Saccharomyces cerevisiae S288C: one gene and its partners. The gene in region 1 interacts genetically with each later gene. Each region holds a gene or a part of one and is shown on either strand. Other genes may lie near its edges. The genes, in order: YNL190W, CYT2, YGR050C and MNT2.

What was found.
Region 2: mutations in YNL190W (region 1) and CYT2 together harm fitness more than expected from each alone (negative genetic interaction), as found in Saccharomyces cerevisiae (one large-scale study listed by BioGRID).
Region 3: mutations in YNL190W (region 1) and YGR050C together harm fitness more than expected from each alone (negative genetic interaction), as found in Saccharomyces cerevisiae (one large-scale study listed by BioGRID).
Region 4: mutations in YNL190W (region 1) and MNT2 together harm fitness more than expected from each alone (negative genetic interaction), as found in Saccharomyces cerevisiae (one large-scale study listed by BioGRID).

What each region holds. Positions count from the first base shown.
Region 1 is NC_001146.8:280,591-283,509, forward strand, and holds YNL190W (uncharacterized protein), read left to right. Parts: upstream 1-1,804; coding exon 1,805-2,419; downstream 2,420-2,919. Other genes in the region: glutamine amidotransferase subunit DUG3, read left to right, coding at 1-915. UniProt on the Saccharomyces cerevisiae protein: Hydrophilin which is essential to overcome the simple stress of the desiccation-rehydration process.
Region 2 is NC_001143.9:276,594-279,600, reverse strand, and holds CYT2 (cytochrome c1 heme lyase CYT2), read left to right. Parts: upstream 1-1,737; coding exon 1,738-2,412; downstream 2,413-3,007. Other genes in the region: malate dehydrogenase MDH1, read right to left, coding at 1-478; SRX1 (sulfiredoxin), read right to left, coding at 937-1,320; phosphopantothenoylcysteine decarboxylase complex subunit CAB3, read right to left, coding at 2,603-3,007.
Region 3 is NC_001139.9:591,506-594,078, reverse strand, and holds YGR050C (uncharacterized protein), read left to right. Parts: upstream 1-1,636; coding exon 1,637-1,993; downstream 1,994-2,573. Other genes in the region: protein kinase FMP48, read right to left, coding at 1-483; SCM4 (Scm4p), read right to left, coding at 2,202-2,573.
Region 4 is NC_001139.9:11,913-15,755, reverse strand, and holds MNT2 (alpha-1,3-mannosyltransferase MNT2), read left to right. Parts: upstream 1-1,598; coding exon 1,599-3,275; downstream 3,276-3,843. Other genes in the region: alcohol dehydrogenase ADH4, read right to left, coding at 1-597. UniProt on the Saccharomyces cerevisiae protein: Mannosyltransferase involved in adding the 4th and 5th mannose residues of O-linked glycans.

The DNA of each region.
Region 1 (2,919 bases):
CCATTGGATACCGAGTTAAGCGAGGACGGTCCATGCCTTTTCAAAGCTATTACTCCTGCATGGAACAACCAAAATTTGAGTACATTAGCAGAAAAAACTAAATCTGATCTGGTCTTTGCGCACGTAAGAGCCTCTACATATGGTGTCCTATCTGAGACCAATTGCCATCCGTTTACATACCACAGCTTATGTTTTATGCATAATGGCGGTATATCTAATTTCAAAGGAATCAAGAGAAAATTATTGAATCATATCAAAGACGAATACCTGAATTTTATTCAAGGGAGCACAGACTCCGAGTGCGCATTTGCATTATTCTTAGACACTTTAGACAAATTGGGTTACGACCCAAAGAAGCAGGACGGCGATTTCGGTAATGTTGCACTAAGAAAGGCAATGTTACGAACGATTGACTACATCAGAGATTGGACTAAAGAAGCGAACAAGGACGAGGCACATGTGGAGCCATCTCTCTTAAATTTTGCTGTAACTGACGGATCCACCGTTGTCGTTTCCAGGTATATAACTTCAAAGACGGACGAGGCAGCATCTTTGCATTTCAGTTGTGGTTCCAGCTTTGTAGAAACTTCACCAGGAGAATACAGGGTAGAAAGGTTGGATAGAAACCAAGATGTAATTATGGTTGCATCGGAACCTTTGACTTTCGAGAGAGGTGATTGGACTGCAGTACCCACCAACAGCATATTGACCATTAAGAAACAGACAATATTACTACACCCTATTATCGATGAGTACTACCAAGAAGATCCGTTATACCTAAGAAGTTCAACCCTCGCAGAAAGCAAGGGGCTCATGGGTTCTATACCACTAGCAAAAGCCGTAGAAAAGAACGTTCCTCCACTAGAAAGAGAGGGCCGTACGAGACCTCCAACCGCTGTCGCACATATAGCATGAGCACACGCTCTAGAGGATTGTACCATTGTCACTACTAGATATACATATAAACAAATAAGAAGCATCGACACATAACAACAACCCCAACATCATAATTTCATAAGTATTTGGTTGGTTAGTCCATATGGCGTCTAATCCTCGAAATGAGAAGGTACCCGCCTGGTGTCTATGACAACCTTCCGGGTAATAAATGTTCATTTGAACCCATTCATCCAATTGATATCCGGGCAATCACTTCCGGAAGCGGAAATTTACAAATATCCGGTGGGTCCTACAAGGGGACTAAAGAAAAAAAATACGTGAAAAACAGCGATGCGATATTTTTTGTATCGTCTTGTTCGAGTGTTTCTTACCACGATGACCGGGATTTTGGCCGGTGAAAAAAAAAAAATGCGCTCCCGTACGTCAGTGGCTGTTGCTGAAACGAGACAATTTCTCAATTCGTTTGTTTGTGTACTGTATTTGTTATCTTTACTATATATATGTTGTTAAGTTTCTTTTACCAATTAGTGCTCACTTCTCTCGTCTTTTATTAGGTGTGTGTGTTGTGCGTAATTTTCGTTTCGCTGATTACTTTATATAGTGTAGTTTGTTCTTGAATGTAATAAAGACTTCTGTTTTATTTTGTTTTGTTATTTAGAAACAGTCTATCTGGTTTAACTTAAACGAGTGAGCTTAAGATAATCTGACTACAAGAAAACCAAGCTTCTATTACTTTGTTTCTTTCTCTTTTTTCTTTTTTGAATAAAGAATTTTCCTTTAAGGAGTAACTTAAGCATTTAGCTGCACATTAAACACTTTTTTTTTTACTTCTAACTCACACACTTTTGGAAGAACATTTATTTTTTCGACCTTCTTTCCCAAATACCCAGCGCTTTATAATTGAAATATGAAGTTCTCTTCTGTTACTGCTATTACTCTAGCCACCGTTGCCACCGTTGCCACTGCTAAGAAGGGTGAACATGATTTCACTACCACTTTAACTTTGTCATCGGACGGTAGTTTAACTACTACCACCTCTACTCATACCACTCACAAGTATGGTAAGTTCAACAAGACTTCCAAGTCCAAGACCCCAAACCACACTGGTACTCACAAGTACGGTAAGTTCAACAAGACCTCCAAGTCTAAGACCCCAAACCATACCGGTACTCACAAGTATGGTAAGTTCAACAAGACTTCCAAGTCCAAGACTCCAAACCATACCGGTACTCACAAGTACGGTAAGTTCAACAAGACCTCCAAATCCAAGACTCCAAACCACACTGGTACTCACAAGTACGGTAAGTTCAACAAGACCTCCAAGTCTAAGACCCCAAACCATACCGGTACTCACAAGTATGGTAAGTTCAACAAAACCAAACATGACACTACCACTTATGGTCCTGGTGAAAAGGCCCGTAAGAACAATGCCGCCCCTGGTCCATCTAATTTCAACTCCATAAAATTGTTTGGTGTTACCGCTGGTAGTGCTGCCGTAGCCGGTGCCTTATTACTATTATAATAAGCTTTGAATTGGATTTGAGAAATAAAGGAAGACCTAATTTTCTCCGGTTTTATGTTTTTTACCCCCCCTACCCCCTTCATCCTGAAGTAGTAAATTCTTTTTATTATACTATTTCGACTACTATGTGTTTACGTGTGCTTGTGCAAAAGTGAAATTTATTGTGATTGTGTTCTTTTTCTCTTTTTTTTATACAAAAAATGGAGAAAGGAAATTGGGACCTACGATTTAAAGAAGTGTTATTTCCTATTTCAACGAGTTAAATGAATGTGTGTGTTTCGTTGACTTGTAAGGATAGAGAAAGATCATCCAACTTTTAATCATGGTTTCCTTTCCTTTTTTATAGCAATCGAATGTGGAAGGAAAATAGAGCGGAGCTTGATAATTGTGTGTGTGAATGTCTTGCTTTCTCTTTTTCCTTATTTCTACGCTATACAAAAAGTGTGCTTTTTTCTTCTATTTTTTTTTCTTTAATGACTTTGTGTGTTTATTACCCTTTA
Region 2 (3,007 bases), on another chromosome or scaffold:
TCTTTGGGTTGTAAACACCCTTGTTTTTCAAGACTTGGGCGACAATTGGAACGGTAGAATTGACTGGGTTGGAAATGACCAGAATGGCAGCATTGGGAGCGGATTCGGCGGTTGCTGCTGCCAAATCGCGAACGATGCTTGCGTTGATGGCGAACAAGTCATCACGTGTCATACCAGGCTTTCTGGGCACACCAGCAGGAATTAAAACCATGTCTGTGTCCTTTAAAGCGTTGTTCAATCCGTCTGGCTCTTCTGGAGTAAACCCCTTGACCACGGAGTTTGTTGGAATATGAGACAAATCGGTGGCAACACCTTTTGCGCCCTTTAGGTCGTACAGTCTTAAGTCCGTGACTTTATGGTTAAGCTTTAGAAGCAAAGACAATGGTTGTCCAATACCACCGCCTGCACCCAAAACAGTCACTTTATAAGGGTTGGCAACTGTAGAGGAAAACGCACGTTTAGCTACTCTTGACAACATTGTATATGGTATCCTTCCTTTTCCTTTTGTTTTTTTTCTTCCTTTCCGTAGATGTCCACGTATAATATATTGTATATCTATATGTGTATTCGTTATCTTAAGTGGAGGAATACAGTACAAACACCCAATGCGTGCTAACACTTCTTTTTAAAGCGCAAGCTATATATATTGTAATATCCGCCATTGTATTATGGCAACTTTTTTTTGTATTTTTCTGGGAATCCGCTTGGCGCGTGATTGAGCCAATGAACGCTGAGTGAATGCCGAGAAGGGGGGGAGAAGCTGGCAGGAAGGCCCAACCGCCAGGTCCCTTGTACCTCTCCGGCGCCGAGGGTCGCACAAACTGCTAGTGCCTACTCTAGTTGTTGAATAAGAAATTGATTAATTAAATTGAGGGATTTTGTATTAGTGAATTATAATTTATCTATGTTTCTTATGTAGTGTTATTAGCGTAATCATTATTCGATGTCGAGACTGCTGCCCAGGTACATGCGGATTTGGCGGGGAGTGGCCGGTAGCACCCTGCAGCGCACGGGGAAGGCGGCGTTCTGCGTTTCGCGAGCCCGGCGGTCGTATGCCTGTAGACGGTGGCAGCCGCCGAAGGCATAATATAGCGTCTGTCCCTTGACTCGCACGCCCAGCACGTCCACGGGCGGCAGTTCCCCGGCTGAGGCAGCCGCCTCAGCCTGTTCTAGAGAGCATGTCTTGCTAGCGGTGGGAATGCCCTTCATTGTGGCCACCATTGCGTCGATCTTTTGAGGATCCAACACAGGCGCTAGGGGGCGTCTGATCTCTGAGAGAGGAATTTCTGTTGGTTTTACACTGTTGCTTTGTAGTGACATATTGTTCTTTTTTTACTTGGTTTTGTAGTTTTTTTTTTCAGTAAGAAAAGTATATATAGCTCATTGATGGTAGATATTGTGGTTTATATACAACACCTCTTGACATGTATTGCATCGCATCCTTACCCAACAGGGCTACTGTAATGACTAAAAATAATGGCGACTTCTGGGCCGGCCTTCTAAAAAAAAGGGACCCGCAACGGGTAACGGCATATTTTTTTCGAAATCAAAGTTCCAGCTTTTCGATGTTTGTAAGCCTTCTAAGACAGAAAGATGTAGTATAAATGATGTAGCTTACTAATCAGGGAAAAAGCAATCGCTAGTATTGCAGAGGCCAAAGGCTTAAGCATCACATTTCGGTAGTAGTAAATAGTTTGTTAGTTCACGTGCTTTTCATTCGTCTCTATTTTACATATTATGATGTCTTCAGACCAACAGGGGAAATGCCCCGTAGATGAGGAAACCAAAAAGTTATGGCTACGAGAACATGGCAACGAAGCGCATCCTGGTGCTACTGCCCCAGGCAATCAACTAGAGTGCTCTGCAAACCCACAAGATAACGATAAAACGCCTGAATATCACACCACGGTGGATCTCTCTCAGTCCAGAGAGGTTTCCACCATACCAAGGACGAATTCTGACAGAAACTGGATATACCCGTCGGAGAAACAATTTTACGAGGCAATGATGAAAAAAAATTGGGATCCGAACTCAGATGACATGAAGGTGGTTGTGCCTTTACATAACTCCATCAATGAGCGGGTTTGGAACTACATTAAAAGCTGGGAAGACAAGCAGGGTGGTGAAGCGTGTGGCGGTATCAAATTAACAAATTTTAAAGGTGATTCCAAAAAACTGACACCAAGGGCCTGGTTCAGGTCCCGTATCTTGCACCTGGCCAAACCTTTTGATAGACATGATTGGCAGATAGATAGATGCGGTAAAACCGTCGACTACGTAATCGATTTCTATTCCACCGATCTGAACGATGCAAACTCGCAGCAACAACCACTTATTTATCTCGATGTTAGACCAAAATTAAACAGTTTTGAGGGCTTTAGATTACGGTTCTGGAAATCTTTAGGCTTTTGAATTACTACAACTATTCCTGTAAATAAAAACATACCCTCCCTAGTTTCCACATACATATTTATTTAATCTTATTTAGGCACTCAATTTAGAAACTAGGGAATGAAAAAGCAGTAATCTTCTTTTAAGGAATAAACAAAAAAAAAAAAAATAAAACATAAAACATAACACAAAATACTCTTTTCTAATGCATTTAAACTTCGGTTTTCACGTCTTCCTCATCCTCTTCGTCTTCCTCGTCATTGCTCTCATCGGATGCTGTTTCATTTAGAGCTTCTTCCTCCTCCTCGTCCTCCTCATCCTCTTCGTCATCCTCATCATCGTCGTCCTCATTGTCAGCACCCTCTTGTTCTTCTTGTTCTTGCTCTTTATCACCAGTTTCCTCGTCCCTAGCTTTCCGTATTTCATTGATTCTCCTCCTAACGATCTCTACAATATCTGTCCATTCTCTCATACCACCCATACCAATATCTCCGCATATTAATACCTTTTCCACCGGTTTCAAAACTTGGATGAACGGATAGTCTTGCACTAAACTCGTCAGGTGTTTCTTTGTCATAGGATTGATATACATGAATGTATTCATTGCAGGCGCAAT
Region 3 (2,573 bases), on another chromosome or scaffold:
AGATTTAGGGGATTGGATAGCGTGACCCCAGTCTGCCAACTTGATGTCACCATTTATCGTTAGCAAAATATTTTCTGGTTTGATATCACGATGAGCAATACCCAAGCTGTGAGCAAAGCTGATTGCTGAGCACAGTTGTTTGATTATCTTTTGCATATCAATTTGAATCAAAGATGGAGACGACGGGCTACCTTGACTCTTAGCAATATCTAGAAAGTCATAAAGATCACCACATTCGCAGTATTCTAGCACCATGATGTAGTACGAGTCATCCGTGTAAAAGTCGAGCATCGAACAGATGTTGGGGTGAGGATTACAAGAACTCAAAATCTTCATTACATCATACTCGTTCTTCATGTTGGCTTCTGAAGTTTTGTATTTAGGAGTAATCTTTAAAGCGACGTAGCGGTTATGTGTAGTACTCCATGCTTTATAAACTGTGCTAAATGTTCCTGATTGTATAGATCTTAGTTTTGTATACATTTTTGCTTTTTATTATTCGGTATATGCTGATAATGATGTGCTTATTTAAATGATTGCGTATACGAGTGAGAATTTGATTCGGAGGGTATGAGAGTCGATCTTGAGTCCTATGTTATATGCTTTTTGTCAGTAACGGGTTATTTAATGCTAAGAATAGTTATTATAAAAGGGAAATTTTTTTGTATTAAGAATAGTCATCACTTACATGTGTATATTATATATATATATATATATGTATTGTACTCGTATTATTATTCTTTGGGGAAAGTATTAGTAGGTAGATGCAACTAAGCTCCGATTTTTCCAAAATTAAGTTGTCCCTTATTGCATGGTCCCCTTAATTATCCTTCCTTTATTGTATGTAACATGAAGCTGCATTTTTGTTCTCAGGCAGCATCATCGTTCCCTTCACCTAACCCTTCTAACTTCCTTTTACCTGTTGCAAGCTGTCTCATACCCGCGCTGAAAAGGCTGAGAACTGGGTATTGTCCCAATATTACGCTCGGCTTTTCTTTTCAAAAACTTTGTATTCCAGATACTTCCATGTGCAATTTCCCTAGTGCTCCCTGTACCAAGCCATCGGAGAGGAGATGCCTTCTAGAATTCAAAGCACGTAAGGGGTACAAAAATCGGAACGGGCCGAAGGCCGAAAAGAGACGGCCGTACGTGAGAGCACATGCAAAGTGGTGAACGGGACGTTACGGAGAATTACGGAACCTCTCAACAGAAGATGCGCCAATAGTCCTTCCGAACTAGCTCCACGGGAGGGGTATGAAGAGCAAGCTTGTTTACGCAGCCTCACCACCGCACCGAAAGACCCTCACGACAGAAATGGAGCGCCTTTAATGACGTTCGTCCGCTGCGGGCCAGAACAGCACAGTTTTGCTTCCCCGTTTCTTTTCCACTATTTCGTCACCCGCTCGAGGTGGCTCGCCCGCTCGGAGGCAAGCTGCACATTCATCGAACACGGAGAGGCACGGGCGAGAGAAAAAAAAGCCTATTGACCTAAACGGATGTCATAATGAAAAGAAGGAATCCGGTTTTCCTGGGCATGACTAAGGTAGCACGACTCAACTGGGCCAGATCGGTTGCTTCTTCCGATATACATGCATTAGATTAAGCCAAAGTAAAATCAAAAGAAAATTTAGCGGATATGAAAACCAATCTAATCTCCTCGTTTGCTTTCCGACCGCATGTAAGGTTCGGCTTTCTTGACTTCGGATATAGCTTAAAGTCGATTCTTGACGTCACTTCGCAATATCATTTCATTCCCATTAAACTGGCGTATGGACTTTGCGATCCTTTATTAATAGTTTATCCGGATCCCAGTTTTAGTTTGGCTCAAGCTGCAGGTGAAAAGAAAAAAGTCGTATTCCCTACGTATGAAGATGTTCCGAAACTACTGTTGACGTTTAAGCAGATTATGAATACGTATAGGAAGGGAAGTTTGGGACAGAGACAGAGACAGAGAGTGTACGGGCGAAATGGGAATGAATCACATTCTACGTAATTTGTCTTTGACTTTCTTAGAGATACGTATATAACTTTTTTTTCTGTGTGAAAAATAAATATTCTCTTATCCAATGTGGACAAGAGCCAAAAATACTCTGCTTTGTATATTTACTAGTTTTTTTGGCCTTTTTTTTCGCTAAACATATATATTAGTCTCGCTTAAATAATTGTGATGTTTGAAGGGAACGTGTCACGTGCTTCGTCGTTCATGCTTTGAATCCATCTAGGATACACTTACCAAAGGTAAAAATTGTTATACCGGTTACAATGCTCATGTGCAATGACATGTATGAGTGACATTTTACGCTTCTTTCGGATTCAGGTTTTAATGTTTTGGCGTTGTTCATCTTTGAGAATGGGCATGCAGCTTCCCCATCTTTGACTTCCGGGTGATGTTGGGGTAATTTTTCATCCTTTTGCTTTTCTAAATCATTTTGGTCACGTGTGCATTTTGGGGCTAGCTTGTGATTGAACAGTGATACTAAGTATAGGTAGGCTGCAGATAATGGGGCGACACCAAGTCCGCACAAAAGGTAGTTTGGTCTTTCTCCTGGTGCAGCTAGATAGTAGCTGAGTCC
Region 4 (3,843 bases), on another chromosome or scaffold:
GTGAGTCAAAGCATCTAGACCAGTAGCAGCAGTCAAAGCAGGTGGCAAACCAAACATGGTAGATGGATCGTTGACAGCAACAGCTGGAGTGACGTTGTTGTCAATGATAGCCATCTTGATTTTCTTTTCTTCATTAGAGATAATAGTGAATCTGGTCATTTCGGAAGCAGTACCAGCAGTAGTGTTGATGGCAAATAGTGGTAAAGCAGCCTTCTTAGATTGATTGACACCTTCATAGTCTCCGATTTCCCCACCGTTAGTAGCCAATAAAGCAATGGCCTTAGCATTGTCGTGAGCAGAACCACCACCAATGGAAACAACAATTTCAGAGTTTTGTTCCTTCAAAACCTTCAAACCAGCTGTGACATTGGCAATATTTGGGTTTGGTTGAGTTTTGTCATAGATAGCAACGTTTAAGTCACGTTCTTCCAACATCTTTTGGACTCTACCGGAGAGACCAATAGCTGCAATACCAGGATCAGTAACGATCAAAGCCTTTTTGTAATCCTTGTTTTTGATGTAATCAGCGGTTTCTTCTAAAGCACCTTCACCAAAGAAAGAGATTGGTGGAATGTAAAACCCAGTAACGGAAGACATTTTTCTTATTTGACTATTAGTTGTTGCAAATGTAAACTTGTTGTTGATGGTTGTTTTGCAATAGACAGAAGAAAAACGTTTGACTCCAGTCTTTAATAAACCAGAAATGCTAATAACCCTTTTATACATGTTGGTACGCTGCCCTTTTTTCCTGTTTGATAAAAGAATATATCCTAGTAGTGTGAGATATTTGAGGCAGCAAAATATCAATTGCTTTGTAGAGTTAACGGCATACGTGATCCCAAGCATCTGACATATTAAACACGTACCTCGTGATGCGCGAACTAAAAACTAGTTCTTTTTTTTTTTTTTCATAGCTAATCCACTGCGGTGATACTACAGCCATCATCACAAACACTGCTAACAGTTATAACCATGTCAACATCACACTACAAAAAATGGCCTCCTTGGAGAAAATAAAATGGAAGCTCATTGAAGGCCTCCGGGGATCCTTCTGAACACAAAACGCAATTTCAAATCAGCAGCCTCAATTATACTGGTTGCTTAACCGTGAAGGTTCATTTAAGTACTTCTACTTTTTACAAACGCTCGATAACCTTTCAAGTAGTGCGCATAACAGCTGATGCATTAGAAAAAAATTTTCACACGATAGAACTGTAACGCACTACGAAACTAAGCAATATGGCGTAAACACACAAAGACTAAGGGACTTCTTGATTGATTTCTATCAGCAGCGTTCTCCGAATTGTAAATAATAAGTACATTATTAGTGGGCCTTAGGCAACTCTTTGAAACGGAAATTCTTGTTTACATTTTTCATTTTCCCGAGACGAAGTTTTGATGAGCCACACAATACCGGTAAAGAAAGAAAGAAGTACCTGGAACTAAAACAGTGCTAATTCTTCTTTCCTTTACTTTAGGGGTGGGGACCATCGAAGTGGGGGGAGACAGCAAATCTCTCAATTGAGTAAAATATTCGCATGAGTGTTTGCAAATCCGCAGTGACAGGACAAAAGTAGCCCCAATAGTATTTATCGAATATGAGAAGAAAAAATCGACTGTTTATATTAGTTGTACTACTGGGAATTGTGTTAGTAGTATATTACTCTCAGTTGAATTCGTTAGATTTGGTAGAACCAGTTCAAAGTAGCAGCAGTGGCAATGGTGGCTGCTGGAGTTACTATGAAGGTCTTACGCCTGGGTGGTTGAATGACTTCTACGACGTAAATCAAATAACCCCGAATCCTGCAAAAGATGTGATTGAACTGGTTACGAGGATTAAGATTTTTTTTAATTGCTTGCAGCAGGTTGATGGGCATAATATTCAGCGTTTGAGGGATATTGAAAAGAAGCTCTTTCCGTATATTAACTTTGAAAAATTAGAAACTGATGAAAGTGCCTTCTGGCACACAACTACGAGATGGAATGGCGAGGTTTACCATGCGTCTATGTTGGAATTTGACCCCAAAAACCATCAATTCCTTCGTTCTAAGCCCATCAATTTCGATACAGGGCTATCTTTTTGGGAGAATTGGTTGCACACTGTGACTCAAAGTGGTTCGAAAGGCATAGTTATTAGTGCTTCTGACGTGCAGTTGAATGAAACCATACGCTTATTGAAAGTGTTGAGGTTCATCAAAAATGATTATCCTATACAGATTGTTCATAATGCAGATCTGAGTCAAGATTCCATGAAATCTATTATCAAATATGCGAGAAGTCTAGACACCGCTGAATATCCTGCTCAAGAATTATGGTTTTTAAATGTACATAGTCTGCTAAACCCGAAATATTCGAAAAAATTTACCACCTATTCCAACAAGTGGTTAGCATTGACCTTCTCATCCTTTGAAATTCCTATTCTAATGGACTCAGATACAGTGCCCTTTGTTTCAATAGAAAAATTTTATGAATTAGAGGAATTTCAAAAGACTGGAGTTCTATTCTTTAAAGATCGGGTAATATCAGATGATCTATTTGAATCCTCTGAATTAAAAATTCTAAGGGAAATTGTCTATGGGTGTATTGGGCTTGATTTAGAGGATGAATCCAAGATACATGAGCAAGTAGAGGATCCAGTGGTTGCACAGGTTCTGGAAAACATGTTTATAAAGAAATATAAACATCATTTGGAAAGCGGCCTGGTAATATTGCATAAAGGAAAGCATCTCTTCAGTATGCTTACTTCAATAGCTTTACAATTTTCTCCAATTGCAGAATATTTTCATGGTGATAAGGACTTTTTTTGGCTGGGCGAATTACTTTCGAACAATCGCTTTACGTTCCATCCTGTGGATGCATCAAACATTGGTCAGTTGGGCAATGTAGTTTCAAAAGAGAGTACCGGTGAGTTTTACCAGATTTGTTCTGTGCAACTATCTCATACAGACAGGGACGGGTCCTTGCTATGGCTAAACGGGGGCCTTAATATTTGTAAAAAAACTTCATGGGAATACGATTATGAGCATAGACAGAGACTAAATGATATGTTCCAAAATGCAGATGAATTACGTGAATATTATGCATCACCAGTAAAACTTGAAGGGATTATAATACCAGATACTAGTATATCAGGATGGATTAACTCAGGAGAGTGTTTTTTGTTCAATTATTGCACATTATTCAAGGAAGGTGAGTTTGGAAAGTTGATCAAATTTAAAGAAGACGAAAAGCTCCGGCTTTCACAAATAGTCGACATATGGAATAAAGATATTTGACCAAGAGTTGTTCTAGTCTTATAAGCAATAGGTAAACCTACACGCTTTTGTTGTATAATGTAGTATAATTTTTGATATCTGAAAAATTATCGCACTGAAGTATAACGTAATGTTTTGTAACGAAGTTACTCTTTAAGTAAATCACTCTTGGCATGCATTGGATAACATAGCCATGATGCAACGCCAGCAAAAATCCAAATTGATTGCAATAGGGAACTATGAAAAATCTGGTACTCCCGGCCACGCTAAAATGATTTTCCACTAAGGTGTTCCTAAAACCTTTCGGATCCTTTATGTCTCTGGCATCATAAATGTCTGTTTAAATTAAAGTATATTGAATTGGTGTTGAAATTCAGCATAATCGAACCACTCTCATGTGGGATGTAGCATCATTCTTAACGCTTTTACTATGCGATCGCCACTTTTAAATGTTGGAAATTGTGAATAATTTACTTTTATCTTGTAGGCAAACCGATCATATTCTGCAAAATTTTGAAAATCCATATCTAGATGCACTGTATTGCACTTTTATATTATAAAGAATTATATGTAATAAATCGACAATAAA